3 linked regions of the Saccharomyces cerevisiae S288C genome follow. The gene in region 1 interacts genetically with each later gene. Each region holds a gene or a part of one and is shown in the gene's direction. Other genes may lie near its edges.

Region 1 (3,237 bases):
TACTACAAATAGTGCCATTACAGGATGACTCACTCAACTACTTAGTAAGTGTTGCTGAAGTATACTTTCCAACTGCAGAAATAGAGGAGCTGTCAAATCTAATTACCAACTCTTCAAGCGCTTTTTACACGGATGGAATGGGTACAGCAAAATCTATGGCTGCAATGGTTGATTCCTCAATACCGCTAACGGGCCTCTTACACGATAGTAACAGCAACTCTGGCGGATCTTCGGACGGATCCTCCTCCAGTAATTCGAACTCAGGATCTTCAGGTTCAGGATCTAATTCGAACTCCGGTGTGTCTTCATCTTCCGGAAATTCCTATCAAGATGCCGGTACTTTGGAATATTCATCCAAATCTAACTCCAACGTATCCACTTCTAGCAAATCAAAGAAAAAAATCATTGGTTTAGTTATCGGCGTTGTTGTTGGTGGATGCTTATATATTTTATTCATGATTTTTGCTTTCAAGTATATCATAAGAAGGCGGATTCAAAGTCAAGAAATTATCAAGAACCCAGAAATTTCCAGTATCAGTTCAAGTGAATTTGGTGGAGAGAAAAATTACAATAATGAAAAGAGAATGAGCGTTCAAGAATCCATAACACAATCTATGCGAATTCAAAATTGGATGGATGATAGTTACTATGGTCACGGGTTGACAAATAATGACTCAACTCCAACCAGGCACAATACATCGAGTTCCATACCAAAAATTTCAAGACCAATTGCTAGCCAAAACTCCCTGGGTTGGAACGAAGTTTGATAGCAATGTCTGCAGAGACTTTCTCCGCTTGCATAACCTTATAAACTTATAACGATACCTACTTATTTCATATCTTATGTATAGTTCTCCTTCAAGGAGACGTTGTTTTAATACTTTTATCTATTCCATTTATCATTATCTACTTTGTAATCAAAGATCGAAGCACTGCTGTGTGCGTTGATTTGGGCCTGACACGAGAAGAAAGTGCGTTACGTACATCAAGATTTTATTCAAAATCCAGCGTCTCCTCCGCAAAAAAGTTCAGAATACATTTGAATGAGTCCTCTGGATTCTCCAACAGTAAATTATGCCCAGTATTAAATTCTCGGACATCAGCACAGGGAAAGTTATACCTCAGGAGGGAATAATCATTGTTAATAAAGTTAGACTGCAGGCCTTTCATGAATAAAACTTTACGACTGGCTGTGCCTTTTTGGAAGAAGTCCCTTTGGTTCGATAGATCCGGCCATTTTTTCACTTCATCCAACAGGTTCGGCATGCTGGAGAGAGGCATTGAGTAATTTATATAAGGATCATGCTGTTGTTGTTCATAGTGTAACTGTGCTTGGTGTACATTATTGGATTTTACAGAAAGAAAACCGTTGGCAAAGTAGAGTGCCACAGCTCCACCACATTTCCTCTTATTACATTCCAAACTTTTGAAAAGCTCAAGAACTTTTTTCTGCCAGCTGGGGGAACCTCTTAAAATCTTGACATCTCTGCGGATAATCCGCATTATTAAGTCATAGTTTTGTAATATCATGGGATCTAATTCTGGGGTTTCATAAGGCGGTAAATCAATTGATATACACTTTCGTATATTAATATTCTTGTACAATGTGGTTAATAATGCAATTTTACCACCCATAGAGAATCCCAGTAAATAAATAGGTCTCTCCAAGCCAATATGAGTTTCAATAAAATAAATCAAATCATTGGTCAGTGTAGTGTAGTCATAAGGTATTGCTTTTGGTGAAATGCCATGATTTCTTACATCAACAGAAAAAATATCCGCGTCAAGCTTCCTTGAAAGAAGCTTATTGAGAGAATGAAACATCACGTGTGAGCCCAAAAGGCCATGGATGTTAATAATTGCAGGTCTTTGCTCGAATTTTATTAGCGATGAAACATCTGAGGGTAAACGCGTTCTATGGAATGATAAATCGACAATTATTTTATAAGGTAGCGCTTTATTATGCGCTAGTCTCGACATTTGTAAGCCCTCTTCCCACGGTTCCTTTTATTTTGCAGTTTGTATACGTCTCGACCTTGGCATGAGACAAAAACAGTTTCCCCAAAAGACGCGCTGTGGTATTCAGTAAAGGCTGGTTTCTATGATAGGTTGAGTTTAGAATAATTTTTAAACAGGATACTAAGATAAAGCAAATATTTCAATCATGTCCAGATTAAGAAGATTCAATAGAAAGATCTTAAGCTTGAGTTCTGACTACACTCATGACGGTGAATCTGATCAAGAAGATGTATCCATATTACCATTAGATACAGAAGAGCAGGAAGAACTCATACAAAAATTTGAGACTAATGCTCACATCACAAATAAGCTGTACATAAACCTGTTAAGCATATTGTATTTGCTATATGGCGGACTGCTAATGATACTCGTAAGAAAATCGCGAGGGTATATTAAGTTAGCACTTCTTGCTGGCGCTAATTCTTTGATCTGTTCGTGCATCACACTTAGATATGATATTGTAAACGACTATCTTTTGTTCAAAAAGTTTAAGTTAAGAGTGAGCAATTTTTCTATTAACATAATAAACATTATTTTACTAGTACTTATGGCTTGGATAAGTTTCAATCATGTGGTCGAAGATAAAAAAACGGTGCTCTGTTTGCAAGTTCCAATGTTTTTATTCTGGGTCGCTGTGCTTGTGAAAAGATGGGCTCGAAATATCGAAGATGAAATCGCAGATCTAAGATGCTTGAAATACAAATACAAAAATGCTTAGTTCTATATCGCGACGTATTGTAATATTCATTGGTTAGTATATTCCGGAATATTTATTACTAATATTACAAATTGATTGGTTGGCAGCTCCTTATTTGTGAACAAGGCCAAAAAGTACTGCTACGAGCTTATTCAAGCATACATATATATAGCTTTAATTCCAAAATCATCGTCACAGGAATCTGCTTTAAAATCCAGTAAAAGACTAACCTAGTCAAAGGGGACATAGAATAGCTTACAAGAGGATTCAGTTTGGAGCTAACACTTTCTTCGGAACTTTCCAGCTTCGTACAAAAGTGCAGATACGTTAAAAGATCAGTTTATCCGTATGTTTTGAAAAGGCTATCTAGTGCAGAAGTCTCTAATTTCAATATAATAGCTTGCTAAATAGTCTTCGAGGCGTTGCATATCTATCAAGAAAACAACATGACCAATGTACCTAGAATTATAATTAAGTAGATGATGCCAATGAGGTGAGCGAGCAAAACCATGTCAATTGGA
Region 2 (3,213 bases), on another chromosome or scaffold:
TGTCACTGACCACAGCTGGCTTGGTGTTGACCTATAACTTGGGCTTGAACCTGAAGTGGGAGCCATCAACCCCACAAAGAAACGGCCCCATCTTATTATGGGGCGGTGCAACTGCAGTAGGTCAGTCGCTCATCCAATTAGCCAATAAATTGAATGGCTTCACCAAGATCATTGTTGTGGCTTCTCGGAAACACGAAAAACTGTTGAAAGAATATGGTGCTGATCAACTATTTGATTACCATGATATTGACGTGGTAGAACAAATTAAACACAAGTACAACAATATCTCGTATTTAGTCGACTGTGTCGCGAATCAAAATACGCTTCAACAAGTGTACAAATGTGCGGCCGATAAACAGGATGCTACCGTTGTCGAATTAACTAATTTGACAGAAGAAAACGTCAAAAAGGAGAATAGGAGGCAAAATGTCACTATTGACAGAACAAGACTGTATTCAATAGGCGGCCATGAAGTACCATTTGGTGGCATTACTTTCCCTGCTGACCCAGAAGCCAGGAGAGCTGCCACCGAATTCGTCAAGTTCATCAATCCAAAGATTAGTGATGGGCAAATTCACCATATTCCAGCAAGGGTCTATAAGAACGGGCTTTACGATGTTCCTCGTATCCTGGAAGACATTAAAATCGGTAAGAACTCTGGTGAAAAACTAGTTGCCGTATTAAACTAGATGACGAACAGATATTATTTTTCTTTTGTATACACAGTTATTACGTATGTTAGAGTGACTTGGTTTTTTTTTTTTTAATGAAATTGTTTGTTATTGATCACGCCTTGTAGGGGAAACAGATGAGAACAGTGAAAATCATAACTCATTATGTGATTTGTTGTGCGTCACCCTTCCATGATTATATATCCTTACTATCTACTATCCAACTACTACATATCTATTGAACTCATATGTACCAAGCACATAAAATTATGCACCTATTTCCATTGGCAAAGACTTGGCGAAATTTAATACACTGTAATAATATCCGGCGAAGCTCTTTAAGAATTCTTACCTATAATAGCGGCTCGCTGTCCGAACGATTGCGCCGCACTTTTCTGCCTCTTACATTCCCTTTTCCTAAGGCGATAAGCAGGCTGAATGGAAACTACGATATAACGCAGTAGAGGTCCCCCAAGAGCTGGAAAGAAAATATTGGTTTGATAGCCAGCACTATTCTATCCAGTGGGCTCTTGTACCATTTTCTGTGGTATGGCTTTGATTCAACTGCATACGTAGTTAACGCGATCAGCCGCACATGGGCATTATCATTTTCAGGGGTACTGGTAAACCCTATTGTTTAGAAAGAATACCTGGTAAGCGGGTCTGTCGAGTCTTTCCCACTAATTTTGAAGAAAAAATCTTTACCTAGTTTGAGAATAATCGTGGCGTTCGTAACATCACGAGGTGAGAGAGACCAGTTAGGTAAGGGTATGCCAATAAAAGGTTATTGATACTTCAACGAATCTTCATATTAAAAGTGCCTTCACCAGAATAAAATTCTAACGTCATCCTAAAAAGCATCAATTGGACATAGTGAGGGAAAGTTTTCACCATTTAAAATCTATTCTGCAGAATACCATTCTAGACTATGATCCCTTAAAGATTCCCATTCTTTAAATATACAAATCAGGTTCAACAGCGTATCTTTATGGTATTATCGTACTACTGGCGACATTAGCAAATCCAAGTATCCTAACTAGGTTTCTAGTCTTATCTCTTGGTTTTCTCCATTAGATGGTAAACACGTTACCTTGATGGCTGTACAGGAAGTGAACATGGTCAACTCAAAGTCACCGGACTCAAAATAATTGCAATTACCTAGACTGGATATTTTTAGAATATTATGAGAATATTTTTAGAATACTTGCAACCCAAAATATATTTAAATGCCGCCAATTTGCAACCAAAAGATTATCCGCTACCTTTTTTTTAGTCATTGAATTGTAGCATAAAGTTCCGAGCTTTGAAAAAAAACTTTGAACTAAGAAAAGGTAAGAGATCCTCAATTATGATATTACTTCATGCCATATATACTCTTTGGGTAATTATACTACTTCCGCTACTCAATGCAGAGAAATTTGTCCCAAAAGTAACGGAGGCTCCTATAGAAACATCATTTAATCTAGTGAGTTTTGATGATTCCAACACTTCTATCAGATTAGATGGTTGGGGGGTTGTATGGATAAGTTTCGACGCTGGAGAAAATTGGGAAACGGTCAAAGAAATTGAAGAGCGCATTTTCAGATTTACTGTTGATCCTTTCCATGGACAGGAAAGAGGTTTCGCTTTTATATGTGAATCACCCAAATTCTACATTACCGACGACCGTGGGGAGTCATGGAGGGCTTTAACTATACCCTCATCAGAAGAATATTTAGATGGCGACTGTTTTATAACTACTCATCCTAGAAACAAAGAACTTCTTATTGCGAATTGCTATAGCTATATGATAGACGCAGACGTTTTATATGACCCAAGTGAAATTTACTTGAGCAATGATGGGAATCCTTTTTTAAAATTAAACCTTCCTTGGAAAAGAAAAAAGACGACGATATAACAACTTAAAGCTGTCATTTCATTAAGTCTAGCAAGGATTCTGACTTTACTGGTAATGATACTTCGATACTCTGTTTGTTCTCTAACCGTGAATACGATGAAGAATATCGCTTAACTGCTACCTACACACAGTTGGCTTTCAGTAGTGATGGAGGCAAAACGTTTAAAGATTTTGATGAATTTAAAGATAAGATTGTTACTCAATACAAGATATTGAAGTCATATGTGGTCGTTTTAACGCAAGATGACGGGCATAACGAGATGTCATCTACGGACATCTGGATATCCAATGATGCATCTACTTTTCAAAAGGCACAGCTGCCTACTCAATTACGGCACGTCAAAGTGATTAAAATTCGTGAAGATTCTATCGGAAGGATCATCCTTCTTATATCGACAGAAATCACAAATGAGGAAAATGCTGATCCAGATCTCTCAGAGATTTTCATATCAGATTCGCAAGGGTTGAAATTCTCACCTGTTGAATGGACACCAAACCATCAGTTTGGAAATTTTAGGCTCACTTTTCCTGATTTCTTGAAAGGGACAATATTTGGATCGTTTCATCCTTCCATTGACTATTCTAATCACCAAGTAAACTATACTGAAAATATAGCCGGAGGAGAAACCAAAATATCCGTTGATA
Region 3 (3,601 bases), on another chromosome or scaffold:
TTTTGCAAGCAAAGCTGGGATACCCGAATGTGTATGGTTTTCCTTTTTTTGGTATTTTTCTCCTATAAACGAGCTTTTTTTCGTCTTGCATTCAGATTTAAATAGCTGCTTCTAAATATATACTTTACGCAAGAGGGTCCGGTCCCAATAGGAACCAAGCTATTGCAATTCCAGGGTTCAAGAGAGAAAAATCTGTAATCACTTCGAACCAATGTTTAGTAAATACCTCGTAACTGCATCTTCCCTCTTTGTGGCTTTGACCTCTGCAGCATCTACCGTTGATCTAGATGCTCTGCTTCTTCTACCAGGGGTCGAGTCCCACGACGGCGTTGATACTGTATTTTCGACCAAAGACTTTTATCAAGTGTCATTCGTCAAATCCATTGCTCCTGCTATCGTAAACAGCTCCGTAATCTTCCACGATGTTTCTCGTGGTGTGGCTATGGGCAATGTCAAGAGCAGAGCAAGTATCTTCAACCCAGAGGAAACGTATTACGATTGGGAACAGTACCAAGTAGTAAATAACGGAGACTGGCGAACCGAATGGGCACCTGCCTCTGACTGCATTTGGAGGGAGGAGAAGGATAACAGCGACGAAACACCGGACAGATTCCCCATCTCGGTGCCATATAATTGGACGTCACAGTACTCAATTGTAGATTATGACACAGACGCTAACGAAGACAATTTAGATTTCAGGTTTATTAAATCATTGCTAGATAAGAAAAATTGGTTGAAAAAAATTAACCAGACTGTTTCCCAATCCAGTATTATGGTAGCACCAATGATTAGGCCATACAATGTGGTCCAGCTTTGGTATTCAAAAGATATGGTTTGGGCAAACGTCCAAAGACAATATTGTAGCGGTGTTTATCCAGGAGGGACTCAATGTAGCGCTTGGTCCAGGTACTACCATGTTGATGCACCCACCTGCGATGAGCCTGTCGCCTCTTACATGACCAAAATGTTGGAAAATGAGGTTCAGTGTCCCAATGAGAGAAACGCAACTACCCTAGAGCCTCTCCGCCTGAATAAGCAGGGAGACTCTGATTTTTCTTTGACTTTCGAGGAAGAGGAAGAGGAAGAGACAGGATCTAAATCTCTTTGGAGTACATTGAAAAAAATTTTCTCTAAAAGAAGTATAAGTTGATCTTAGTTGGTAGCACTTTGATGAGGTCTCTAGCAAAAAGTCTACAAACAAATTCTTGAAAGTGTTTGATTGTATATCGATATATCAGAAACATACATATGATTTTTATCTTGTGAATATTCATCAAACTCCGTTTTTAGCCCCCGTGTAAGTTACTTTAATGAGTATTTGATCCTTTTTTTTATTGTGTTGGTTTTTATATGTTTTGTTATGTATTGTTTATTTTCCCTTTAATTTTAGGATATGAAAACAAGAATTTATCAAAGAAAAAAATCTTAGCTTTAAGAACTACAAAGTAAATAAAAAATAATAAATCACACCGGACAGTACATGAAACTGGACATATTTGAGGAATTTCTTTTGAAGAGTTGAGCATTCAAACTGGCCGGTCTTGCTGTGGCCTCAATCCACTTGAGCTCCAAAGAAGGCTCTGAAATGCTTATTTTTTTCAAGCGATACAAAGTAAACAGTTACATACCTGAATGATACTACCACAACTATTTACATTATCGTCCTGTCAAAAGGCGAATAATCAGAACTGTTTGTTAACATGTCATTTTATAAGAGCGGCCTGAAATACTGTCATAAGTGGTCTGTCGAAAGTAGTTATTACGGCGTCGGGCGTCGCGAATAGCTCAAAAGTCACCCCAGCTTACACGATATTCCCATAACCTACAGCAAGAAGCTATTCTTGGATACAAGCACCAGTTACAAGCACTGCATTCATATATTGCCTTTTACTTTCCTATTCTGTATTTGTGTGCTAAGTGTCCTGTTTCGGAACGTTCTAGAAGATTTTCTTATTTTTCTCTTTTTCAGTTTTTTTTTCATCACGCAAAGGAAATACAATACAAGGTTAAAATGAAGGAACTAACATTACTATTATTTCCAATTTAAAGTTTACCTTAAAAGACAATAGATTGATCTTGAAAGCCAGTTTAGATAGATTTTAGAACAAACAGAAAAGTAAAAATTAAAATAAAAATGAGTATCCCCGCTGACATTGCATCTTTAATTAGTGACAAGTACAAAAGTGCCTTCGATAATGGTAACTTAAAATTTATCCAGACTGAAACAACGAAAACAAAGGACCCAAAAACCAGCATGCCATACTTGATTAGTCACATGCCAAGTCTGATCGAAAAGCCAGAGCGTGGCCAAACTCCAGAAGGAGAGGATCCACTAGGCAAACCTGAGGAAGAATTAACGGTTATCCCAGAATTTGGTGGTGCCGATAACAAAGCGTATAAATTGCTATTAAACAAATTCCCTGTAATCCCTGAACACACTTTATTGGTAACTAACGAATACCAACATCAAACTGATGCCTTGACCCCAACCGATTTATTGACTGCTTATAAGTTGCTGTGTGCCTTGGACAATGAAGAATCCGACAAGAGACACATGGTCTTTTACAATTCTGGTCCAGCCAGTGGTTCTTCATTGGACCACAAACATTTGCAAATTCTGCAAATGCCTGAAAAGTTCGTCACTTTCCAAGATAGACTATGTAATGGTAAAGAACATTTCCTACCAACTTTCAATACTGAACCTTTGCAAGATGCTAAAGTCTCGTTCGCTCATTTTGTCTTGCCAATGCCGGAGTCTGAAGAAACTGTTGATGAAGACCTATTAGCTATGTGTTACATCTCCATATTGCAAAGAGCTTTGACCTTTTTCCAGGACTGGTTGAACGAAAATCCAGAACTAAAGAAATCCTACAATCTTATGTTAACCAAGGAATGGATCTGTGTCGTTCCACGCTCGAAGGCCTTTTCTGATGAAATGAAGATAGGTTTCAACTCCACAGGTTATTGTGGTATGATCTTAACCAAAAATGATGAAGTTTTCTCCAAGATTACTGAAAAACCTGAATTGATTAACGATATCTTATTGGAATGTGGTTTCCCAAACACTTCTGGTCAAAAACCAAACGAATACAACTATTGAGTCCTTCACAAGTACAAGTATACACGTATACATGTATGTATATATATGTATTTAAATGATAGAAGTAATTTCTATATGTATATGTCTATTCAATTTTTATTTCTGATGACTTTGAAATTTTATATTTATTATTCTACACTTTATTATTAAAACTACATGCAATCAATGCCGTTAAGGTTACGATTCACCTTTTTATTACTTATTATTAATATTGTTGTATTACTTCCTTGAAAAAATATGTCTAAAGAGTCCTAATTTGGATTTTCTTTTCCTCCTAACTTCACTGTCCTGCGCCTGCTTTCCTAACGCATCATCGCTAATACACCAGCTTTCATTGCTTGTTGCTGCGCTGTTGCTCGCATGGAACGTTTTCAGTGCGTCATCATCCTGGGATAAACTAAAGACTAAGTCACCAGTTTCATTTGAGGCTTTTCTCTGCGCGTTGACAAAAGAGGACAGATCAACCATATCACCTGGTTCACCCATGAGAATGTCCTTACT

Evidence for each region.
Region 2: mutations in YGR016W (region 1) and YCR101C together harm fitness more than expected from each alone (negative genetic interaction), as found in Saccharomyces cerevisiae (one large-scale study listed by BioGRID).
Region 3: mutations in YGR016W (region 1) and APA1 together harm fitness more than expected from each alone (negative genetic interaction), as found in Saccharomyces cerevisiae (one large-scale study listed by BioGRID).

Annotation. Positions count from the first base shown.
Region 1 is NC_001139.9:520,097-523,333, forward strand, and holds YGR016W (uncharacterized protein), read left to right. Parts: upstream 1-2,164; coding exon 2,165-2,737; downstream 2,738-3,237. Other genes in the region: MSB2 (Msb2p), read left to right, coding at 1-767; EAT1 (putative hydrolase), read right to left, coding at 994-1,980; YGR016C-A (uncharacterized protein), read right to left, coding at 3,150-3,237.
Region 2 is NC_001135.5:301,837-305,049, reverse strand, and holds YCR101C (uncharacterized protein), read left to right. Parts: upstream 1-2,019; coding exon 2,020-2,568; downstream 2,569-3,213. Other genes in the region: YCR102C (uncharacterized protein), read left to right, coding at 1-689; EMA35 (Ema35p), read left to right, coding at 2,829-3,213.
Region 3 is NC_001135.5:37,335-40,935, reverse strand, and holds APA1 (bifunctional AP-4-A phosphorylase/ADP sulfurylase), read left to right. Parts: upstream 1-2,134; coding exon 2,135-3,100; downstream 3,101-3,601. Other genes in the region: YCL049C (uncharacterized protein), read left to right, coding at 212-1,150; LRE1 (Lre1p), read right to left, coding at 3,320-3,601. UniProt on the Saccharomyces cerevisiae protein: Ap4A phosphorylase catalyzes the phosphorolytic degradation of bis(5'-adenosyl) tetraphosphate (Ap4A) into ADP and ATP. Can also use other Np4N' nucleotides (where N and N' stand for A,C,G or U) as substrates with equal efficiency.